Struthio camelus: one gene and its partners. The protein of the gene in region 2 binds, or shares a complex with, the protein of the main gene of each other region. Links are inferred from orthologs where the notes say so. Each region holds a gene or a part of one and is shown on either strand. Other genes may lie near its edges.

Region 1 (7,427 bases), on a different chromosome or scaffold from region 2:
CCCAGGCTTGTTCAGGAGCATTAAACAGACTCCTATTTACTGAGCATGGTCCTGTGTCTGGCAAACAGATGTGTTGCTGCATGACTGTCTTCTATGCAGGACCTGGATCCAAAGAACTGAAGTACGTTTCTTAGTGACTTGCACTTGTGCCAGAGCCCGGGACACCTTGTTAAATCACGCACATTAGTAGTCTAATCAACTTGACAAAAAAGTGCAGTTAAATATAAAATAAAACGTACTTAACTTTACATACAAAACTATTTGTACAATCAACACTTCAGCTTTAAATAAACTACTTTCTTAAATACAGCCAGTATTCAGCTAACTCATCTGCACATTAACAGCTGCAACGTTTCTAGAAAATGATCAGTCTGTGTAAGTATCACAACATTTGTTTTTCTTTACAAACAGAAAAGAACCCTCCAGCCCCTAATATTCTGTTGCCTTCAGCTTTCACTAATCTAAGCAGAAGTGGAAGATGTACAGTACTTAGCAGGGCTGGCCCTTTCTCATTGAGTATCAAGCTGGGAATAATTTTTAGTCAAACTGCTAAAGAATATCCCTTTGGCTTCAGTGTGAAACCGTTAGCAGGTAGCTACTTTTAAATGAAGAGTAGCTGGTCTCTGAAAAGCATAATCTGCATGTTTAAATTTGGCAAATGAGTGAATGGAGTGGAGATGACATTCTAGGGGCATTCTAATGGCATGGGGACATGTGGTTGTTGTAGGAATCCATTTAAAAATACAAGGATGAGAAAGCAAAAAAAGATATATGCTGTTATATTTTCCCCCTCTGTTTACAAAGACTGCAAATTAAGTAGCCTTTTGTAGTAGTAGTAGATTACGTAGTTTTTTGTATATTCCCCAGCTACAAGCTTTGCTTCGCAGATTCTGATTCTTCCACCTACACTGTGGACATTAGCATGCCAACATGCTCACAACAAAACCAGCTTTGCTTTCAGAATCTGCAGGGCTGCTGCTCCAGCTCGGGTACAGAACCCTCTTTATCTGGTGCCTTACCTCAACAGTCAACATCTGCTTATTACTACAGTCCTGCCAGTTCCCAGACAATTCAGCTCTTTCACTGCGAAATACAATTCCCTACATTCAGAGACATTTAATGAAGTGAACCTTCGTGACTACTTTCCTCTTTGAGCTGATACTGCTCACTTGGATAACCATCTCCAACCCACTATGCTTTCTCAATGCTAACACAATGACAGTTACTTTTCTATGGAGAACTGATTTTCTTCAGGTGTAGTGGTTTCAGACAAAAAAACGTCAAAAGTGTTTGCGTGCAGGAAACTAGATACAACACAAAGTTGGAATAGGAAGATCTTGTAAAGGATAGCGTGAAAGATAGAGGAAAAGGGGAAAGCTCTGGTTAAATGAATTCAGCAGGGCATGTTAAGCATACATTTACAGCTTTTTAAATTGATTTCTGAGACAGCAGGAAAGGAGAGATGAAAAAAATGTTTGTATGAAATAAGAAAATCTATCATGAAAAGCACTTCTTGCCAATTTAAAGACCCATTGTGGGGACCTGAGAGTCAAGAATAGCAGATCATGGCCTGGTCATCTCTTTCTTTTTAAGAACGGAGCAAAAAATGAAACTTTTCTTGATATTATGCTGTTGTACTTTGACAGATTTTTTAAAACAAATCACAGAGAAGTATGCATTTTTTCCATGAAATAAAATTGAAAGTTGGTCCTGAAACGTCAGTATTAATGTCTTACCATTAAAAAGATCAAGATGTTCTTGCTTTTCCAAGTCTCTTAGGACTTGGTACTCATCCATTTGAATTGGTAAAACTAGATGTTACCCACAATAAAAGCATCTGAAGTAAAAACAAAGCGAAGAAGCAGAAAACTTTAGTTACGCTACTTCTAAATGACATACAAACCAAATGTTAGGAAAGGCTAATGAAAGAAACATTTGCAGGGAGGCAGACTTCTAAACACTCTTACGAAAGGATCAAAACCTAAAAGAGAAAAAAAGTTATTTTTATTGTGGTTTTGTCTTCTGAGTTTGTTTGGCAAAGTATGGAATTCTTTCCAAATGGTTTAGTGTAAACATGTAAAAAGTATCACAGGTCCTCAGAAAACGAGTCTGGATTCTATATCCCCGTTTGTATTCATGCTGTCTTTTCTTTCTAAGCAGACATTGATTCTCCTCCACACCCTGTCATGGTTTAGATGGGGATAGACTAAGTGCATGCATTCATTACTGTGCAATAATTGGATTGGTGTGAAGGAGTTTGGATATTTATTGCCTGTGTGAAAGAGTGATGAATAATGCAAAGAACACTACAAAGTTACAGCAAAGGGATTATCTCTACTTCCTTTCTCCTTGCTGACAGGAGTGAGAGTTGTCAGGAGGAGCAGAGCGCTGAGAGCGGTGGCTCCAGCTCTGCAAGCCTGGTCCCAGGTGCCCCGGGAGGTTCTCCACGGTCAGGTGTCCCTGAAGGTATTGTCATGCCGCTCTCCTGCAGACTGAGGTGGATGAGTTTTAACAGGTGGAGAGCATCTTCCAGACTGTTTCATCTTTGCTGGTTGGCAGACCACTGCAAGCTGTTTCTTGTTGATTGGTGTAGCGAGTTGCCAGGCAAATGTTCTTGCATAAATTTTATTCTGGTATTTCTACTAATTACATGTGGGTTTTTTTTCATAACATCTGCGTAATTGTGCTTTATCTAACAAAAGTTACGTCCCTAACAGCTACATACCGAAGGTCAAACTGTGGGCCTCTGACATCAGTAATTATTTGAGTAATGTCAGTAGGGCTGACACATCCCTATGCCCAATTTTCAGGAATCAAGCTTAATGTGTAAATTAAAATGGAAAAACATTCAGAAAGTACCAGAAAATATAATTTTTCGATTAGAATCCCCCAAACTGTGCAATATTTTGTCTCTCGTGGAGGGATGTGAGCGCCCACTAACCAGCACTGCATTCTTGAGATGCAATGTGCTGCATTTACGCGCAATTGCTAAAAATGCCAAAAGCTGGGCTGTACTTAAAGAGACTCCTGCACTTTTAGTTCAGTTACACAGTCCCTACTGCAAAAGCCGTCTCCCTGGCCTTGCGTTGGGTTTAGTAACTGAAGCTGTGCCAAGGACGGAGAGGAATCAGAGGGCGACGGCTTCCCGGGAGGGCGCAAGGGCTTTGCGAAAGGTGCTGCTTCCGCAGGGCGCGGCAGGCGGCGGGAGGCCGGCGTGCCGCTGCGCTCCCAGGCAGAGGGTTCGCCGCACCCCAACTCGCGCGAGCTTACTGAGCAGAACAGCGTTAAAACACGACTTGGCAGCCGCGGCAGGCAAGGACCATCCGGCACCATCCGCCTGGAGCAAGCTGGGCACCGCAACGCCCCCCGCGCCCGGGGCACGGCACGCCGCGAGGACAACGCGCGCTGCCTCCTCATGACGCCACGCCGACAGCCTGCTGACGCCACCAGTGGCCGCAAGTTCGCAACGCCCAGTGCTGCGCCTGCGCCTGGAGACCCCGCGGCCGGAGCCGCGCCGCCGCCGCCGCCTCCCGTAGCGGGCCGTGCGGCCGGAGCCGCGCCGCCGCCGCCGCCGCCGCCTCCCGTAGCGGGCCGTGCGGCCGGAGCCGCGCCGCCGCCGCCGCCTCCCGTAGCGGGCCGTGCGGCCGGCGGCGCGGCCCGCCTGCCCCCTCTGCCCCCCGCCCCGCCCTGCACCGCCGCCCCGCAAAGCACCCAGGGACTACAGCTCCCAGGAGGCAGCGCGCCGCCTTGCCGGCTGAAGACTACACCTCCCAGCATGCCCCTCCCGGCCAAGACTACAGCTCCCGGCAGGCAGTGTGGGCGCTCCCTCCCGCCTCCCCCTCCTCTGTACTACATCTTCCAGGGTGCATCTGGCCGCCCCTTGCCGCAAAGCATGCCGGGCCGGGCGGTGGGGGGCGGGGCTGCCGGCGGAGGTCGCAGCCGGCCGCGGTCCACGTGGTGCGCTGCCCGCCGCACCCGGTGCCGGGGAGGCGTCTGGGCTTTGCGACGCTTCTTTGCGGCAGTGCGGTCAGGCGCGGCCGCCGTATTCCGCCCGGGTGACCGGCTGTCGTGCCGCTGCCTGGCCGAGGCGGGGAGGGGCGGCGGAGGACGGGGCTCGGGAGGGGAGGGAGCAGCCCCGCCGCCCGCCCGCCTGCCCCTGGATGGTCCGCGGGGCGGCTCGGCGGCCTCCTGCTGCTGCTGCTGCTGCTGCCGGGGCGCGGCGGGGCGGGGCGCGGCGGGGAGCGCGGCGGTCGGGGGGCGGCGCGGGGCGGCTCGGCGCGGCGCGGCGGGCGCTGAAGATGGACTATGACTTCAAGGTGAAGCTGACCGGGGAGCGCGAGCGGGTGGAGGACCTCTTCGAGTACGAGGGCTGCAAGGTGGGCAGGGGCACCTACGGGCACGTCTACAAAGCCAAGCGGAAGGACGGGTGAGTGAGGAGCGCGGCTCCCCCCGTGGCGGGCCGCCGCCGCCACCCTCCCCCCTTCCCCCCCCGGCCCCTCTCGCCCTGCCCGCGCCTCCTCCATCTTCCCCGCCCTGCCGCCGGGGCTCCCGCGCCCACCGCTTCCTCCTCTCCCCGGCACCTCCTGGGCCGCCGCCGGTCCCCGCCGCGCCCGGCGCCGCAGCCCTGGGGCCTTGCTGCACTGCCCCTCGGTGTCTCGGTGCCCGGCGTGTCCGTGCACGGGCCCCCCGCCCGGCCGTTCATGCCGCCTTTCCTCTTGCCCTCTCTTAGCTTCTCTCTCGCTGGCGCGTCTTCCTCTGGTGCGCTGTTAAAACCCGCTGCTCGGCTCGCCTGTGCTTGCTGTCTCGTACGTCACCCGGAGCGTGCTTTAGTCTGACCGTTCCTATCCCTTCAGTGTAATGCTGGAGTCTTGTTTTCCTACTGATAGCTTTTGGAGGAAAAAAAGAGAAAGATCTAGTTTAGGAAAACGCTTAACCAATTTCCACTTTGAATAAACAAGTAGCCACCTCAAATGTTCACCATCTGCCCTGTAGAACAGGATTTTATTTTTTCCATAGTGCTTTTTTTTTTGTCTGATTTATTACTTGTAGTCACCATTTTGGGTGTTCTTCCTGGCTGCTCCTGGAGCTGAAGTCTGCTGGACCTTTCAGGGCTTAAAAATATTTTGAAAGATCTATGTTTGTGACTAGTTCTTTGTACAGACTTGAGTAAAATTTCCTGGCACAAATGTTTAAAAGAGCAAATACAGCTAACTGTGGGTTCGCTAATCCATGACATGGCACCACTTTTTCAACAACAGAACAATAGGAAACAGGGAGCAGAAGAAATAGGGGGGGCAGAGCTTGTTCTTGTAATAGATCCTAAATTTTAAATTACACGTTATTTTTGCTGCAGTCTCATCACAGTAGTGCTTTGTGTGTTCCAATTGCTATAATGTGTATTTTAAAGCTCTGGGTATTCTTTTTACATTTGATAAATAAAGCACCTTTAAAAAGGCCTTTGTCACTTATGACTGAAATATGATCTGGTTCTTTTTACATGTTATAATTCTAGAAATGCTCAACGAACCTACGGAATGATTTTGTAATGGGATTGGTTACGCCTTATTTTGTCTAATGTGCCTTAAACATGCTCATATTAATAGTAGCACAGCTATTTCTGTGTGAATCTTGTTCACGGCTATGAGTCAGCTCACTTTTTTTTTTCAAATTTTAAGTTGGATCCTTCAAACCTGTACTGTTCAGAAGAATAGTTCTTACATTGTCTCAATGTTTTTTTTTTTTTTTTTTTTTTTTTGAGTTTGAGAGGCTGTAGCCTCAAGTCTCCTTACGTGCAGGTACTTTGCTGTTACAACCAACTCTAGTTTCGGTAAAGATAAGGAGACCTCTAATATGAGAATAGGTGAGGTATTGAAAGATATTAACTAAGTCTCCAATTTACGTCAAACTCTTTGCAGCCGTTAAGCATGCTGGACTGCAGCAGTATATAGGGAATTCAGAATTTGATACTGGTGAAGCATTATTCAAACATTTTTAGTCAAATTATCAGTCTGCTTGATGATATTTGGGACAGAGTGTCTAGAGCTACTGGTGCTAGTGTTATTTTGAGTAATTTCAGCAAAATATAACTGTGTTTTTAAAAATGGATAGCTAAAGACCAAATGGGGTCTTTAGCGTAGATTTTTCTCTCAGTTATTCAGAGTGTATGATTTAAATCTTTAAATCAGTCCTATCTTTTCTGCGGAAAAAAATCAAGGTATGATATTTGATTAGGCTCTGTCAGAAAACTGATGAGTGAAATACATTGTCTACTTTTTTGCCATGTTGTTCACTTAGTGGCTCCTTCTTTTTCCCTTCCTCTGTTGTCTCTTATTTGCCTTCCAGGTTCTGAAAGCTTTCTGTATGAAATATGCTATGTAATTGCCCTTAAACCGTCACTCAGATATGTAAGATATCAGTGTCTCTGGATGATTTTGTAGTTTCTAGTGTACTTGCAGATACATGATCTTAAATTATACGGATGGATTTCAGATTGAAGTTAAAGGTTCTGTTTAGAGACCTTTATCAAAAGGAATCAAGTTGTGAAAGCAAACATGTAATTACTCATTTTCTGTAACTATGATGATGGATGAATGGACATTGTGTCTTACAGTGATAAGCTTATGAAAGATAGAGTTCAACTTTTTCATGTTCTTATATGCCAAATAATACTATTTCGTTATCCCCCAAATAGTAGATATTGGTGGATGAGTAACCGTCTTGAGTAAGTCACTTGTAGTAAAGAAAGTTTGAGCTGCATAAGTACATGTGAAGTTACCGTTTTGCTCTCTTTAAGTTTTCAAACTTTTTTCCTTAAACATATACATGTACTTTAAACTTCATTATATACTTTTGATTGTTACTTTAAATAACAAAAGCCCCTTTAAGCCTATTCATATCCCTCAGTTTTCAAAGGACTTTGAAGAATGTGTGTTACAGGACTGTGAACGTTTTATTGAAAATATTGGAGCTCTTTTAAAATGACAACACTTTTTGCGTACAGATTTCTAATGAACAGAACAAACACTGAGGAGAAATAATAAGTCAGTGTGTGCAAATATATATTTGGAAGCTCTTGATGATGAAAATCCAGTTTAACAGTAGTAAGAGTTAGTGTTTTTAGTATGACAACAGACTTCACTTCTTTTTTTCCTGGTTGCTTTTACAGTTGCCTCTGAGGTGAAATGTGACAGTACAAAACTAGATAGCAGCTTCATGTCGGAACTGTTGGAGGAGACTTAAAGGCAATGTATCCAGCTGAAACTACATGGGGATATTTTGGGAGACAGTCTTACAGTAATCTCGGTGTAGTGAGAATCCTAAAGAGAGAAATAGACCATATGCTCTTTAGTGACCTGACAAGAGCATACTGTGGTTTTTATGACCCACTTTATGAAAGAGCCAACCCAGCCATGTGGTGCCCTTTGCCA
Region 2 (7,684 bases):
AGTTCCATTGGTTTAAATCTGATGCAACACTGACCATCTCACCCCTGCCCCCACTATTACCTTCTTTCCAAAGACTAGTTAATTTTTAAATTGGATCAGTAGCATTTTCTTAACTGGTAAAGTTTATATTACACAAAGATGAACCTAGGAACGAGCACAAACTTATTGGACTGTCCCTTTCCCAATATGAATGCACTGCATAGTGTATATACTAACATTTATGTTAAAATTTCTTCATGCAGTTTCCCTCTAGGGAGAGGAAGCGAGATGGAAAAGGCTGCATGTGACAGATGCTAATTATGCAGCTTACTGCACTTCTGGAAGTTGCAGTGATGAGAACTGTATAAGAACGTATGTAGAAAATAGAAAGTGTATTTTCAATGACATTTTTTCACAATATTTTTTTATCTGCCTCCTCCCTCTTTTTTAAGGAGACTTTATTTCCCAAATAGCACCTGCAGTAACCAAAGGCAAGCTATGTCACAAGATCCAAAATTTGTCACACACGGATATAACTATTATCCAGTGTGTCTTAATGTTATTTAGTACTGTTCGTGTAATGAGGAAAGTTGATGACCTGAAGGTTCTGTATTTCAGGTACGACACAAGAAGAGAATGATTTGAAAAACAAATTCTAGTTGATGTACTAGCTTTGTTTCCTCTTTTGTCAATATTTTCTTGATTCTTCCTCCTGTAATAAGGTTTTGGAAAAATGATGTTCTGCTCTTGACTGTCCCTTGGTCCTATGTAAGTACTTACTACTATTAATATGTAAGAACTAATGAACTGGGTCTCAAAATGCGTTTTACAAATAAGTAAACTGAGATACAGAAACCGAGTTCCTCAAAACTAGGAAGTGAATCAGTGCCAAAACCAATGTTAGATGCTAGATTAATCCTCTGATCCGGACATTGAACTGTATTATTTCAGGGAAAATAAATAGATTCTCAGCTAGTGACAATTTGGTGTTATCCTGAATTCAGTGGAGAAATGCAAGTTTACATTTGTTATGAGGCTAGCCCACAGTGAGGCATCTTACTGGATTTCCATTCCCTCCACCAAATCCCAGTTTTACCAAAGGATACTTTCTCTGTCAGAGGAAGACCATAACGGTTCTTGTGTATTAATGCCAAGTGCTGCTTTCTTTTATTTCCTTCGAAGTGTTGGATTTCTCCTTAGGGAGGTGTGACTTAAAAACGTTGCCAGGGAACTCTCTCTCTGTGCAGTAAGACAACCACTCTAATGACCAAAGTGGAGCACGGAAACTTTGGAGGTCTTTTGTGTGCATCTCTGCCCACGGCAGCATGGAGAAGTAGGTTCAAACGCTGCTGCAGAGCAAATCCTCCTCGCATGGTCCTCATCTCCAGTCACCATGGAGAAAACCATCTGTTCTACTTGGAAAGGGGCTGGGGTTGCACACTGCCCTCCCCCCACATCCCTGCTTCATCCCCAGCTGCTGTATTTAGATGAGCAGTGAGGGAATGAATCTCCTGTGTTAAAAATACTCCCGTTCTATTTAGATAAGAAGCAAAATTTTGCTTGCCTACACTGACATACAAAAATAGTCTTGGTGTGAGTAAATCTTCAAAGTTTTGTCTTAGCGAAAATATCTATCCTCCTTATTGTTTCTACTTATCAGATAGATTTATTTATAGAGCGTCCTTCTTTCCTCCCACTCTATCAAGACGTTTGCCGAAGGTTGCCACTCGTCTTGTTCGTGAGTCCCGAAATAATTTGTAGGGCCTTTGAAACATCATCATGTTGCATAGTTGTGATGCAATGTGCTGCTCTTGCAAGAACATATCATATTTTAATGTGAATGTCATGTTAGCTGAGTAATGTGTCTTTCTTTTACTGTAGACGCTTCAGTGGTTTATATATTTTTTTTTACTTTAGATACTTTACAGTGGTTTATATTTCCACTTAATTTTGCAAACCAAACATTCTAAATATAATGTTAAATTTTACATTCTACATGCAAGATATTGCATTTAGTGCAATAGAAAATTAATATGTAACATGGGAGTATTAACAAGATGAGTATACTTTCAAAATATTTCCTAAAAATAGCTTTCACTTTGTCACTGTAGCATCTTAATTCTGAATACTCTCTAAGTCCTTCTGCAAATCTGTACACGTAGTAACAGAGGTACCACCTACTTCTTCCTCACGAGTTACACGATCTACATCCGTACATGAAAACTTGAATTTTGGAGTACGGTTTTGCTGCGGCAGCAGATCCGATGTCTGTGGCACTCCTGAAAACATAAGCTCCTGTTCTTAATGCTTGCGTAGCTCTTTAAAAAGGCTTCGCGCTCCCCAGTGCCCGGTGCCAACGTGGTATTGAGCGCCCGTCTCTGCCAAGAGCTGAAACGTGTAGAGAGCGAGCCAAGATAAGACTTTCCGCGCTCATAGGTAGGTGAAGCAGCCTGTGCTCGGACTTTGGCCCGAGGCGGGCCAGCTGCGAGCGGATGCTTGAGAAACACCTCGGTAAAGCGCCGTACGGGCCCCCCGACGGGCCGCGGCGCTGCCGGGAGCCGCTGCCCGGGCGCCCCGGCGGGGGAGCCGCGAGCGGCGCAGGGCCGCGCCCGCTGCGGGCCTCGCGGGAAGGCGGGCCTCGAACCCGCGGGCGCCGCAACTCCCGCTGCGCCCAAACGCGCGGCTCAGCCCGCGGCGCCACGCCCGGCGGCGGCCGCTAGATGGCGGCCTCTCAACGAGCAAAGCGCCGCGCTCTCTAGCGCCGCCTCCGCGGCTGCCGGCCGGGCTCCGCCGCTGCAGCCGCCTTCGCCCGGCAGCGACGGCGGCCATCGCTGGGCAGGCCCACGTGACGGCGTGGCGACCAATGGGAGCGCGGCAGGGGGGCCCCGACTCTCGTCCCTGTGGCCGCCATTAAAGAAAAAGGGGCTCGGAATTAAACGGGAGAAGAAGCCCCCCTCCTCCCCCTCCCCGCGGCGGCCGCGACGCGACATGGGGGAGACGCGCTGAGGGGCAGCCGGCTGACCAGGATGCCGCGGCCGGGCAGCCGCCGACAGAGGCACCGCTGAGAGAGAGCGAGCGAGGAGGAGGAGGAGACCCGCCAGCGGGGGCTTCGGGGCACCGACTCCGCCAGCAGCAGCAGCAGCGGCCGCCGCGTCCCCTCGGTGTCGGCGCCCGGCGGCGGCAGCAGCGGGGCCGGGATTTGCGGGGCTCCGACCCCTTTCCCCCGCGGCCCTTCCGGCTGAGGAGAGCCCGGGGCTCGGCCGCCGCCGCCGCCTCCCCGCCCTCCCGAGGAGACCTCGGGCAGGGGGCCCTCCGCCCACTGCCCCCGCCGGGCCGCCGCGGCGGGGCAGCGCCGAGCCTTCCCGCGGCCCTCGCGGAGCCCCCTCACCTGGGGCCAGCGGGGGGGGGCCGGGGCTCGCTCCCCTCCCCCCGCCGAAGAGACCGCCCCGCCTGAAGACTGATATTTTATATTTCTCTCCTTTTTTTTTATTTTTTTTGCTTGTTTTTTTTTTCCTTTAATTTTTTAAAGGGTCCAGCCTCGCAACTAGGCTGCTTCTCCTCCCCCCCCCCCCTTCCAGCTCTCGGGGGTCTTGCGGGGCTTGTCGCGGTGGAGGGGGCCCCCCCGCCTCCTGCTCTCGGCGGGCGCTTGGCGGGGTGCGGGCTCCCCTGAAGAGACCCGCCCAGCCGTGTGGACTTCGCGGGGCTCCCGCGGCCCCGGAGGACAGCTTTTTTTTTTTTTTTTTTTTTTTTTTGGGGGGGGGGGGGGAGACGAGCCTCCCCGAAGACGCTCTGGGATTTGCCCCTTCCTCCTCCTCCTCCGAAAAGACTGGGGCTCGGCCTCCGCCGCCAGACGCCTCCGTCCTTCCCCGAAGAGACTTCGAGGGTCACCCACAGTTTCCTCCTTCCGACCCCCTCCCCTTCCCCTCCCTCCTTTCCCCCCACGGAAGGATCCCCCCCCCCCCGCCGCCGCCAGCGGAGGATATTTTGGTCTCACCCTCTCAGCGAAGAGTATTTCTTTTTGGGGAGGGGGGGTTTCCGCAAGGGAATTTAATCCCTTGCTGGGCTGCCGAGGAGACTTTTTGCGGCCTCTCCTCTCTCAAGGAATACCTTCCCCCCTCCCCTGCCCCCGCAGATGGTTTTCGGGGTGCACCCCAGGAAATTTCCTTCTCCTGCCTTTACGAATTCTTCAGGCTTGCCTTGCTTCTGGCCCTAAAGTTTGTTTTTTATGATTTTAATTTTTAATTTATTTGGAATATATTTGGAGCAGGGAAGAAGAATCTGATTCTCCCCCCCCCCCGCCCCCTACCCTGTTGCCCTCGGACTCCGAAGAGACGAGCCTGGATTTTGCTCTCTCCCACCACCAGTCCTTCCCAGTCATTCCACGATTTGCCCCTTTCCCATCTGATGACTAAAGAAGCAGGAGGGAGGTTTCTGGATTAATTGCCCCCATCGGATTATTTATTTTTTCCTACTTCTCTTGCTTGGCCTCTGAGATAAGAGGAAGGAGGGATGTCAGCTGATTTTTACCCCTAGCCCCCTGGATTAATTACCCCCTTTTTATCCTCTTGTTGGATCAATTACCCCCTTCACCTTACCTCCGCTCCCTCCCCTCCTTACGCGAATGAGAAGACAAGAGGAACAGGGAGGATTTTGATCTTAATCTCCTGTCGTTGGATTACTTACCACCTCCCTCTTTCTGCTCTCCCCTTCCATGGTGGCTTTACCCCCCCTCTTTGATATCCAGAAGAAGAGAAAACGTTCTGAGTTTCTCTCTCTTTTTTTTTTTTTTAATTGTTATTTTTAAAAGCCCTGTCTTATACCACTCTCCTCCTGGATTATTTATCCTGCCACTATTTTGTGTGTATGTGCGTATGTAAATCCCTTATTTAATTGTATTATTATTTGTGCGTGTGCCTAGTCCCCCCCCTCCCCCCTTTCCCTCGCAGTGTCTGTCTCTCCCTCTCTCTCTCTCTCTCTCTCGCTCTCTCTCTCTCTGTCTGTCTCTTTCTTTCTTGTCGGAGGCTGTGGGATAATGGCGTGTGGGTTGTGGCTGTGAGGATGAGTTCCTGCTTCGTGCCGAACGGGGCCAGCCTGGAGGATTGCCATTCCAACCTCTTCTGCCTGGTGAGTGCCCGCCGCCGGCGCACACGCACCGCGGGCGCGGAGGGGGCGAGGGAGAAGCTTTCGGGGGGAGGGGAGGAAGGGGTAGTGGCAGCAAAGCAGCCATTTTTAGCATAGCTTCTGTTGGATGAGTCCTCAGAGTAGGCCCTGCCTGGAGCCAGCCAACTCTCCGGTGCCCCTCTGCTTCCCTCCCTCCCCCCCCCCCCCCGCCGCTGCTGTCTATCTAATGTTGCCCCTCCCTCCTTTTTCTCTCGATATTCTCCCTACAACTTGCCTTTTCCTGCTGTTTCCTTGCCTACAACTTTTTCTGCTTTCTCTTTAACCTTATCTCTGCTACTGAATGTGGTGTTTCCAGCAGGAGGTAGGGGGATCTCCTGCTCCTTTTCTCCCTGCCCCACATCTTCTTCCTCTAGTGAACTTTCTCCCCCCCTCCTCCCGCCCCCGTGACATCCCGAACAAATTCAGAGCTGAGACCTCCCCCTTTGCTTCCTAAATGGTTTCTTTTATTGCTTTTCGTTTATTTTTGTTTTAATTATTCTGGAGATCTGTTTTTAGTGATGCACTCTGTATGAAGTAGTGATATCTTCTGTTTTATTGTGCACCATTTTGTAGTGTGTTTTTTTTTTTTTTTAAACCTAAGTATGAAATTGTTTAAATTCTTGATTTTAGGCAGTTCCCGATTTGATTTAACTGGACCATGATGCAATTCTTGGTGGTTGTGATGACCTGTTTCATCTGCTTTCTCAGGCATATTAGCTAATTTTAGATGACTGCCTGGTATTTATTATTCTAGAGATTGTTATAAGTAAAAACCTGTGCCAAGCTGTTGTGCTGGTATTTTTGGAGGGAGGGGAATCTGGACAACCTGAACGTGCCTTCAGATTGCATCAGGCCTGCAGCTCCATATCAGTAGTATGTTTTTAAATCTTAGTCTTTCTAAGGTATCAACTGTTGCAAACTCCCTACCTTTCATCTAAATTGCTCCTTACTGAAGGTAGGAAGGCTGCCATGTTAGGTTTAAATGTTGCAGTAATCTTGTGTGTTGTCACATTAGGAAGAAAAAATTAGTTCTTGGCAAGTGTGCCATCTAACCTTCCTTCTCCCTTCTCAAATAGATCCCATGGGCAATGCTTCCAAAGTGCCTTAAGGTGACTGTTCTCAAGTGGGGGGGGGGGGGAACTTTGGTAGCCTTAAAACTTGGTACAGTGTTGCTTTGTAGATTATTCAGGAATTGTCTCTTTCCTATTAGGTATAATAATTGCAACTCTTTTACTTTGTAAAGTAATGTGGATCTTTGTCTGGAAGGGGATTTAGTGCATCTTAACCAGTGTGGACTTAAATCAGATATGTAATTTTCAGGATAGAAACAGGATTTAAAATTCTTAAAATGTAGTGTGAGAAATGAAAAGCACGAGAGTGCACTCGAAAGGCTTCCTGTGTGAGGGAGAGAATATTTTAAAATGGATAAGCTTGTGAAATTTTCCCAAATGCTAGATTACTGGAAGAATGTATGCTTAAGCTAGATGTACTGTATTATCTATTTCCTTAGAGAAATATTGAATTTAAAAGGTAGTGTATGCATAAATAAAGCTTGAAGATCTTTGCTAAGGTAAATGTTTAATGTAATTATTTGCAGACTATAACTGTACAATTTACTAATGTCATGCACTTTTTCAGTTTTTTATTTAAAATTAAATCTTACTTTTCCCTCTGCAATCTTAATGCTGCAGTGAAAATTAACCACTCTTGCTTTACTGCAGTTATTTAAAGAGATTGAAAATAAACAGGCACCTTATTTTATAATGTATCTTGTAAGTATAGTTTATCTTAAGTTTTGCTGATATAATCCTTCCTTGTTCCTCCCACCCTCCTCTTTCTGTGTCACCATCTTGGTATAGCAGGGTGTTTCAGTTACAAAAAGCTGACCGTTTCCAGTTCCCTTCCAAGAGACTTGGAATTACTTCTCGACTTTGGTTTTCCTCCTTGTCCCCCTTCCAGTGTCTGATAATTGTTCTTTTCCTTCCCTTAGGCTGATCTAACTGGGATTAAATGGAAGCGATATGTATGGCAGGGTCCAACATCTGCCCCAATTCTCTTTCCGGTCACGGAAGAGGACCCTATTTTGAGCAGCTTCAGTCGCTGTCTGAAGGCGGATGTACTTGGTGTTTGGCGTCGAGACCAAAGACCTGGACGCAGGGAGCTATGGATATTTTGGTGGGGTGATGATCCCAACTTTGCTGATCTTATTCATCATGATCTTTCAGGTAGGTTTAATTAAAATACCTTCTGTTGACTGGTGGAAGGATACTGTTACTCAGGGCTGTCTCCTGCCAGTCTTTACAAAATCTATACTAGGTGGACTATTTATTGTCTATAGTTTTATTACTACAAGTCTGTGACTTTTGAGTTTGTGGTGATAGTGGATAGGGCTCTCAGAAAAGCCAAATTATGGCAGTGCGCTAGTCAAACAGTTGGTATCTGTTTAGGTGGTCTTTGGCTGCTAGATATTCAAGGAGCAATTTTGTGCCCCCCACTTATTTACTGTGTTTCTTTTGAGAAATCAAGTAAGCCTAAGAATTTTGAC
Region 3 (7,635 bases), on a different chromosome or scaffold from region 2:
GGGGGATGATGCTCATGGAGGGACAGGGATGGTGCCCATGCAGGAGGAGGATGGTGCCCATGGAGGAGGAGGACGGTGCCCATGGAGGGACATGGATGGTGCCCATGGAGGAGGAGGACGGTGCCCATGGAGGGACAGGGATGGTGCCCATGGAGGAGGGGGGTGATGCTCCAGGGTGGTTGGGTCAGTCCCCAAGGCAGGCTGGGGATGGTGCCCACGGCCCCCACGGTGCCCATGGAGGGACAGGGATGGTGCCCATGGAGGAGGGGGGTGATGCTCCAGGGTGGTTGGGTCAGTGCCCAGAGGGGATGGGGACAGAGCCCGCAGGAAGCCAGCGGGGCGGCGACGTCTGCGATGCGTGGGGGAGCCGGGGCCAGGCCCTGCGCTGCCCCCGGGCCGGCCCCAGCGGGACACGCCGCTCCACGCTCAAGGGGGTGCCAGGACCCCCGGGAACTCGGGCGAGCGAAGCAGGGCCAGCGCCCGGCCGTGCACCCCTGGGTGCCCACCGAGGCACGTCCCACACCCGGCACGGACAGGCCCCCTGCACCGGCACCCACCGGCACCCGGGTCTGCCAGGGGAGAGAGACCGTGCCGTGGGGCGGGGACGCGGCCGTGGGGCCGGGGATGGTGGGCGCACTTGGACACCGGGGGGCCGGGGCTGGGGGGAGCCCTGGGGTGCAATAGGGGGCTGCCCCTTAGCAGCCCCCCAGCCTGCCTTTCCCACCCCACCTCCTTCCCAGCAGGCCTTGCGCTCGCCCCCCCGGACTACAACTCCCATCATGCCCGGCTCTTAAAGGGCCAGCGCCCCCTTCCCGCGGGCGGGAGCTGCGGCCGCCCTGGCAGGGATGCTCGGGGGCCGCGGTCCGGGATGGACCCCCGGGATCTCCCCGAGGTGCCGGGGGGGGGTCTCTGCTTGCCCGCTCCCACCCCTCAGCACCTCCCAGCACTGTGGCCCACGCCTTCACGGCTTGCCAAGGCAGCACGGTGGTTGCCGTGGGACGGGTGTACCCAGGAGATGGGGGCACGCAGGGGACGAGGGTACCCACGGGATGGTGGCACCTAGGGGATGGCAGTACCCATGGGATGGGTGTGCCCAGGGAATGAGGGTACCCGGGGGGGGGTATCGAGTGTACAGGGATACCCAGAGCATCGTGGTTCCCATGGGACGGTGGTATTGGGGTGCTACCCAGGGAACGGCAGCGCCCAAGGGATGGTGGTACCCAAGGGATGCTGGTGCCCAGGGGACGGTGCTACCCAGGGAGTGGCAGTACCCAAGGGATGGGGGTACGCAGGGGGCAGCGGTATCCGGGGCACAAGAATACCCGGGGGACGGTGGTACCCAAGGGATGGCGGTACCCAGGGGATGGGGATAACCAGGACATGGTAGCGCGCAGGGCATGGCGATGCCGGGGCATAGCGGTACCCGGAGCATAGTGACAACCAGAGCGTGGCGGTACCTGCGGCATGGTGGCACCCTGGGCACGGTGGTACCCAGGGCACGATGGTGCCCAGGGCAGACCCACCTTCCACCCCGTGCCGGGTGCTCGGCCCCAGCCGGTGGCGGGTGCCCGGCACCCCCGGGCTCGTCGGCTCCCGCCGGCGCCCGCGGCCCCACCCCCAGCCGGCGGCTCGCGGCGGCCGCGCGGAGCCAGCGTGGCAGGGGGAAGGGGCGGCTGCGCGCCCGCCCCGGCCCCGGCCCCGGCCCCGGCCCCCTGCCCTCGCTGTACTGTACACTTTATCCTCTGCAAACACGCGGCGGCGGCGGCGGCTGCCCTTCCCCGCCGCACGCGCCGTCTGCCTGCGATAAGGACGCAGCCAGGGCTGAGTTCATCCTGCCCCCCGGGGCCGGCACGGCACGGCAACCTCAGCAAAACGCCGTGTCCCCGGGTCCCCCCGCGGCCCAGCTGGCCCCGGCGCCGCCGAGACCCCCGGCACCCTGGGGCTGCCCGCACTGAGGGGGAAACTGAGGCAGGGCAGGAGGCTGCCGTTTGCCCCAGCGCTGGCAGCGGACCCCGGCGTCCTGCGGGCTGAGACCCACGCGCGGATGCTCGGCGCGGGTGCCGGGCATGGCGGGCTCGATCCGAGCGCCCGCGGCCGGCCCGGAGCCGGAGGGACGCGGTGAGGCCGCGTCTCGCTCCTGGCGAGATGCGATCGGCCGGAACGAGCTCATTAAAATTCATCCCGCTGCTCTGCGGCGCGAAGCGGCTATATATAGCCGGGGCCTGGCAGCGCGGCCACGGAGCTGGGGCAACGCGCCGCGGGTGCCGCCGAGCCTGCGGGTGACCCCACCGGGGCCCTGCCGCCCTCCGGGCTGCCCAGCGTCGCCCCGGGGCCGCCGCCGGCGCCCAGGAAGGGGGCGACGCTCCGTGGACAGCGCGGGAAAGCGGCCCGGGACCCGGCTGGCCCGCGGGAACCGAGCTTGGGCCACCGGGGACGGACGCAGGCTGGGGTGCCGGGGGCTCCGGCGGGAGCGTCGCCCATCTCCAGCCTGGCCCCCCCCCCCCCCCACCTCCGGCTTCCTGCCGGGAACTCATCATGGGAATAAAATCTTTCACACCCAATAAAATACCAACAGGCAGACACAGGCGGGTGGGAACCGGCCCCGTCTGGCCCCCCGCTCAGAGCAGGGACGAGCGCATCCCGGGGGGGGGGCCCGGACGCCTGGGTTCCCCCGGCGGGCAGGGCGGCCCCCCCGGCTGCGGGGCGCTGGGAACGGCCGCGGCCCCTTCCGGCAGCCCCCGGCGCCGGGGGGCTGGAGGCAGCTGGGCCGCGGCGCCCTGCCAAGGCGGGCCGCGGTGCGGGGAGCTCGGCGAGGCCGCGGCGCCTTCCCGGGCGCCGGCCGCCCCCGCGCTGGGCGGGGGGCTCCGTTCCCAGGCGGTTGAGGGGGGGGGCCGGACAGGGACCCCCGCACCCTGCCGTCCCGTCCCGCCACCCCACGCTGCTCTCGGTGCCCCCTGGAGCCCAGCGGGACGGTTCGGGGTGGCTGAGGGGCCCCTGGGGATGGGAGGGGGTCTTGCTGCCGGGGGCGGGGGGGGGGTTCATCTCGGCCTCGCCGTGCCCCCGCTCCCCCCTGCCGGGGCCCGGGGCGCGGACCCGCGGCCGCGCAGTGTCCGGTTACCCCTCGCCAGCTGCCGGGGACTGTCCCCCCCACCCCCGGCCGCCCCCGCCCCCGGCACAGGAAATCCGTCCTCATGAATAGGGGCCGGGGCCCCCCCGGCTGCCGGGGGCCCGCGGCGCCGGGGCAGCGCCTAATCCCGGCTCCGGCGCAGGGGGATTTGCAGCCGCCCGCGCGCCCCGGCCCCATGAATGATTAACACGGGAATTAAGGGGCCTCGGAGACCCCCGGAGCAGGGGGGGGGGGAGCGGCAGGGCGGGCGCTGCCACATCGTGGGGCTCCCACCTGCTCCCTCTCCCGTGGGGTGCTCCCTCAACCCGTGGGGTGCTCCCTCAACCCGTGGGGTCCCATCCGCCCCCGCGGGGCTGCCCCAAGGCCGCCCGCGCCCCCCCGTGGTTGCCCCAGCGCCCTTCAGCACCTTGGACAGCGGCGTGGGGGTGGGGGGTGGAGCAGCCCGTGGGTGGCCACGCGGGGCCGCGGCCCCGCGCGGGTGGAGGGGAAGGGGGCTCCGGGGAGCCGCGTGTTGCTGCACCACGCGGGGCCGCGCCGCCGGCAGAGCCCCGCCGCGTGCACACGCGTGTCCGCGCACGCCCCGGCGGCCAGGCCCGCGCGCGCCCCCGCCCACGCGCGGCGGCTCTGCGCGCGCGCGCGCGTGCGGGCTCGCGCCTGCATTCCCCTCCCCGTCTCCCGCGCGCCCGGCCGCGCGCGCCTGCCCCCACCACGCGCGCGCGCGCGGCAGCCCGCGCGCGCGCACGGCCACACACCTCTGCACGAGCGCGCGAGCTCGCGCGTGGGTGCGCCCCCGCATTTTGCCCGCCTGTTTCTGCCAAGCCGAGCTCGCGCCGGGGCGTTTTCCCGCGCGTGTTTTGCACGCCCGTGTCCGCGCGCGTGCACTCCCCCCCCTCGGCGGGCGCGTGTTGCGCGCGGGCGCCTGTCTGCGCGCGTGCGCGCGCGCGCGCGGGGGGTTTCCACACCGCCCCCCCCCACCCTGCTTGCACGCGGGCGGTGTGCACGCGTGCATCGGCGCGGAAGCCCCCGCCCGGCCGCCCTTCCGCGCGCCCCTCTGCGCGCACGTGTTCGCACCCACGCGCGGCCGCACGCGCGCTGGCGCGCCGCTCCCCCCTCCATGACGCCACCGCCTCTTACTACATCTCCCAGCCTGCCCCGCGCCGCGCCGACCAATCAGCGCGCGGCTTCCTGCCGGGTGCCAACATGGCGGTGCCCAGGCGCTGAGGCCCCGCGGCCTTGTTGGGCGCCGGTGAGCGGAGGCGGCAGCGGTACCGGCACCGGCAGCGATCCCGATCCCGATCCCGATCCCGGGCCGGGCTGACGCGCTCTCCCCGCAGCCATGAAGGTGGTGAACCTGAAGCAGGCCATCCTGCAGGCCTGGAAGGAGCGCTGGAGCGACTTCCAGTGGGCCGTCAACATGAAGCGGTTCTTCCCCCGCGGCGCCACCTGGGACATCCTCAACCTGGCAGGTGAGGGGGGGGGGCTCCTCCTCCTCCTGCTGCCTCAGTTTCCCCCACCCAGGGCGGGTAACGGCGCCGTCGGGGCCCAGGTGCCGCTCTGTGCCCCCCCCCCACTGCCCCCTTTAATTAGAATTTCTTTTCCTGTCCCTATTCAAGGGCGTTTGACACAAATCCTGCCAAACGCTGCTACCTGCTGAGTTACGTGGTTTAAAGATTTGCCAGGCTTTTATGCCAGTTGTAGAAACCTGTTGCTAGGGTGTGCGTTTTGTTGGTGGTGGGTTTTTTTTGTCCCCTGTGCAGCAAGCGCCTGTTTGCAAAGCCGGGATAAACAAACACGAAGCGCCGCTCGAGGACGGCCGTGGAGGGAAACGGCCCTGAGGCGGGCGGTGAACCGCTCCTGGCCGCGCTGAGCGGGGAGGACCTTTTCCCAGCTGACCTTTTTCCCTCGCTCTGTCCTACCCGCGCTTTCTTTCAGCAGCCTCTGGCCCAGCCCCAGCTCCGGAGGGCAGGTTCCTTCAAACCGCGTCCCCGCAGCCGGTTCGGCCCCCACCCGCGGGGGCTCCGTGAAGGGCAGCGCGGGGTCCCCAGGCTTCCCGGAGCTCGGCGACGCCTGTCTCGGTCGTGCCGGAGCTGCGGGGCCGGCTGTGGCCGAGGAGACTGTGGGGCAGCCCTGGGGAAATAGGTTCGCTCGGGGCGGCCGGCGTGGACGCGGCAGCAGGGTGCCGCCGTCTCAGCGCTGCGGGACGCGCAGGGAGGTTCGGGGTGAGCTGGTGCTCAGGAAGGTGGTTCGAGGCCCGGCCCTGCTGCCGGCCAGCTGCTTCCCGGGGTCGATTTCCAGCCCTGCAGCCCTTTGCCTGCCTCACCCAGGCAGGGTCCTCTCCAGCTCAGTTTGCTGAGGCAGCAAGGCCTGTGGGGTACTTGGTGTGGGCCTGCCTGCGTATCCCTGGGAGCAGAGTGGCTGCTTTCTGCCAAATAAAGTCCGGTCAAAGGGTTAGAGATAATCCGCGCCTACAATTTCTGTGAAGACAGGTTTCTCCTGACCACCTCTTAGTGCGGCAGCTGAAGGAAAGGCTCGTTAGCCCAGCCTGCGTTGGAGGGCAGCTGCTCCGCAAGGAGGCGGAGGAAACTGGGTCCGTCTGGCTTCAGGAACTGCTTGTGAGGGGATGTTGGCATTGCCGGGCCTTCCTGGGCAGTGCGAGTGTTGTGTGAGGGCCAGCAGGTTGTGAGCGCGCAGGGAGGGTGTTCCTGAAGGCCGGGATGGCTGTAACAACCGCTGTGTTCATAGCGCTGCTTTCTTTCTAAGCCCCTCTCACCGCAGCCCTGGCGCAGTCTTTCCAAGCTCGTGCGTTTCAGGTTCAGACTACAAAGGAGGAGAATCTGGCACGAGCCGCCAGAATCACGGCGGTGCCCAGCAAATCTATGCTGACACGTCTGCAGTGGGTAACAGCATGTGGCTGGCTCGCGTTGACGCTCCCTGATTAGATGGGGGTGGGAAGGGGGAAGGTTGCCATCAGCCTTCTGTCTCTGAGCCGCGATGCTTTTGCATGTGGTCCGAGCCCCCGTTTGAGATGCCGGGTGCCTTTTGCTTCTGCGGCTGTGATACAGCCGTGGCCGCTCCTCGTTTTCTTTGGGGAGACGGTTTTCTTTGGGGGGGGACGGCTGCTTCCCCTCTCGCGTCTGGGTGCGTTGACCTACTTGCAGCCCGTGCCGCAGCCTGGGGCCTGCTTTTGCGAGGTAGTTCCTGCACTCTGCCATAGTTCAAATGGTCAATTAAAGGCTTGACTGAGCAGATAGGACGGGCAGGAGCCCCTCCAGCTTCCGAAGGCCGGCGCTGGCAGGCAGCCAGCAGGAGGGAGTGCCAGACATGCAGAGCTGATCTCAGCAGAGGGGCTCTTTGCCTCGAGTTCAGCCCCAGGTGCCAGAGCAAAAGTCACTCAGTGGTGGATGCCAGAGCCTCCTGGGCAGTCTGTGGGAGGAAGGGGAACGTGTTTGGAGAGCATCAGGTGCTGTTTGGGGCCTGGGGACCCTGGGAGAGCTGAGTCAGCAGGAGGCTGCTTGTGCTTCCTAAATTATTTACTGGCTTTTGCTGCTGGGATTATAAAGTTATGGGATTCAGTTAATTTCAGGGAAGGTCTGTGCAAAGTCTTTGTGATAAGCACAGTTTATTTTTGTCACCTTCCCTGTGGGATGAGGCAGAGAACGAGAGCACGACGTATGCGTGAGTGTGTGTGTTGGTGCGTGTGTTTCCCCATGTCATGTATTTGCTGACCTGGGACCTCCTGGCCCCTCTCCTTTGCTTGCAGAGGCTCTTCTCGAACAGGCTATGATCGGGCCGTCACCGAACCCACTCATCTTGTCCTACCTGAAATATGCTATCAGTTCCCAGGTAATAACACTCTTTGTGTGCTGCAGGCGCTGCTGGGTGTTGCCTTGCAGCCCCAAGTAGCAGGCGGGCAAAGAAACTGGGGTGTGGCATTGGTGTCGGGCAGACACCCCAAATCTCCCGTCTGCGCCTTGAAGGCATTGCGCCTCCCCCTCGGCCGGGGCGGGTGGCGGAGAGCTCTGCTCGGCACATGCCCAAAGCAAAGATCTGTCTGTAAATAGCGTACGTCCGCCGCCCAGCTGCGCACAGACAGGGTAGAAGTCCTTGCCTTCCGAGAGCCTCTGCAGTTGCTATAAGCCATGCACTTTCTGACTGTAGCATTTAATATTGTTTAAAGTTTGTGTGAAACAAATCAGCGATCACCTAAAAATGTCTGTTTGGATTTGTGCCGGGTCAGTGCCCCAGCCCCATCCGCGGTGGCAGGCAGCGAGGCCATGCCCTGACCTTGCCGTTCCCCAGCAACGGGCGCCGCGCTTACAAACATCACCTACTAACACGCTGCTCTGCCGGGTTTGTTTTGGTTTGTGTTTTGTTCTTAGATGGTGTCTTATTCCACGGTACTGACGGCCATCAGCAAGGTACGGCTCCGACAGCTGCTGTCTGAGGTTTTTCTCTTTACCTGTGATCCACATATCCATTTCCCTCCCCAGAACTCTCACCAAATATAG

The links.
Region 1: the proteins of MED13 (region 2) and CDK8 are in contact, whole or in part, in a cryo-EM structure (PDB 8TQC), measured with the Homo sapiens proteins. The link is inferred for Struthio camelus from reciprocal best matches to the Homo sapiens genes MED13 and CDK8. Residues at the interface, in NP_005112.2 of Homo sapiens: Thr1616, Met1617, Asp1618, Arg1619, Lys1621, Val1622, Gly1623, Ile1624, Pro1625, Thr1626, Asp1627, Gly1628, Asp1629, Ser1630, Val1732, Lys1733, Thr1734, Leu1735, Thr1736, Gly1737, Phe1738; in NP_001251.1 of Homo sapiens: Leu9, Glu12, Arg13, Arg71, Lys74, His75, Pro76, Leu81, Gln82, Lys83, Val84, Tyr133, Asp137, His140, Tyr141, Met330, Gln331, Phe335, Leu336, Leu340, Pro341, Thr342, Ser343, Asp344.
Region 3: MED13 (region 2) and MED24 share a complex: the UniProt entries of both Homo sapiens proteins name them as parts of the mediator complex. The link is inferred for Struthio camelus from reciprocal best matches to the Homo sapiens genes MED13 and MED24.

The regions. Positions count from the first base shown.
Region 1 is NC_090942.1:201,383,952-201,391,378, reverse strand, and holds the start of CDK8 (cyclin-dependent kinase 8), read left to right. Parts: upstream 1-4,240; 5' UTR 4,241-4,298; coding exon 4,299-4,426; intron 4,427-7,427.
Region 2 is NC_090957.1:18,770,511-18,778,194, forward strand, and holds the start of MED13 (mediator of RNA polymerase II transcription subunit 13), read left to right. Parts: upstream 1-4,620; 5' UTR 4,621-5,037; coding exon 5,038-5,103; intron 5,104-7,129; coding exon 7,130-7,364; intron 7,365-7,684. UniProt on the Homo sapiens protein: Component of the Mediator complex, a coactivator involved in the regulated transcription of nearly all RNA polymerase II-dependent genes.
Region 3 is NC_090966.1:6,788,969-6,796,603, reverse strand, and holds the start of MED24 (mediator of RNA polymerase II transcription subunit 24), read left to right. Parts: upstream 1-4,312; 5' UTR 4,313-4,373; exon of another isoform or gene 4,374-4,461; 5' UTR 4,462-4,463; coding exon 4,464-4,593; intron 4,594-6,887; coding exon 6,888-6,970; intron 6,971-7,506; coding exon 7,507-7,545; intron 7,546-7,635. UniProt on the Homo sapiens protein: Component of the Mediator complex, a coactivator involved in the regulated transcription of nearly all RNA polymerase II-dependent genes.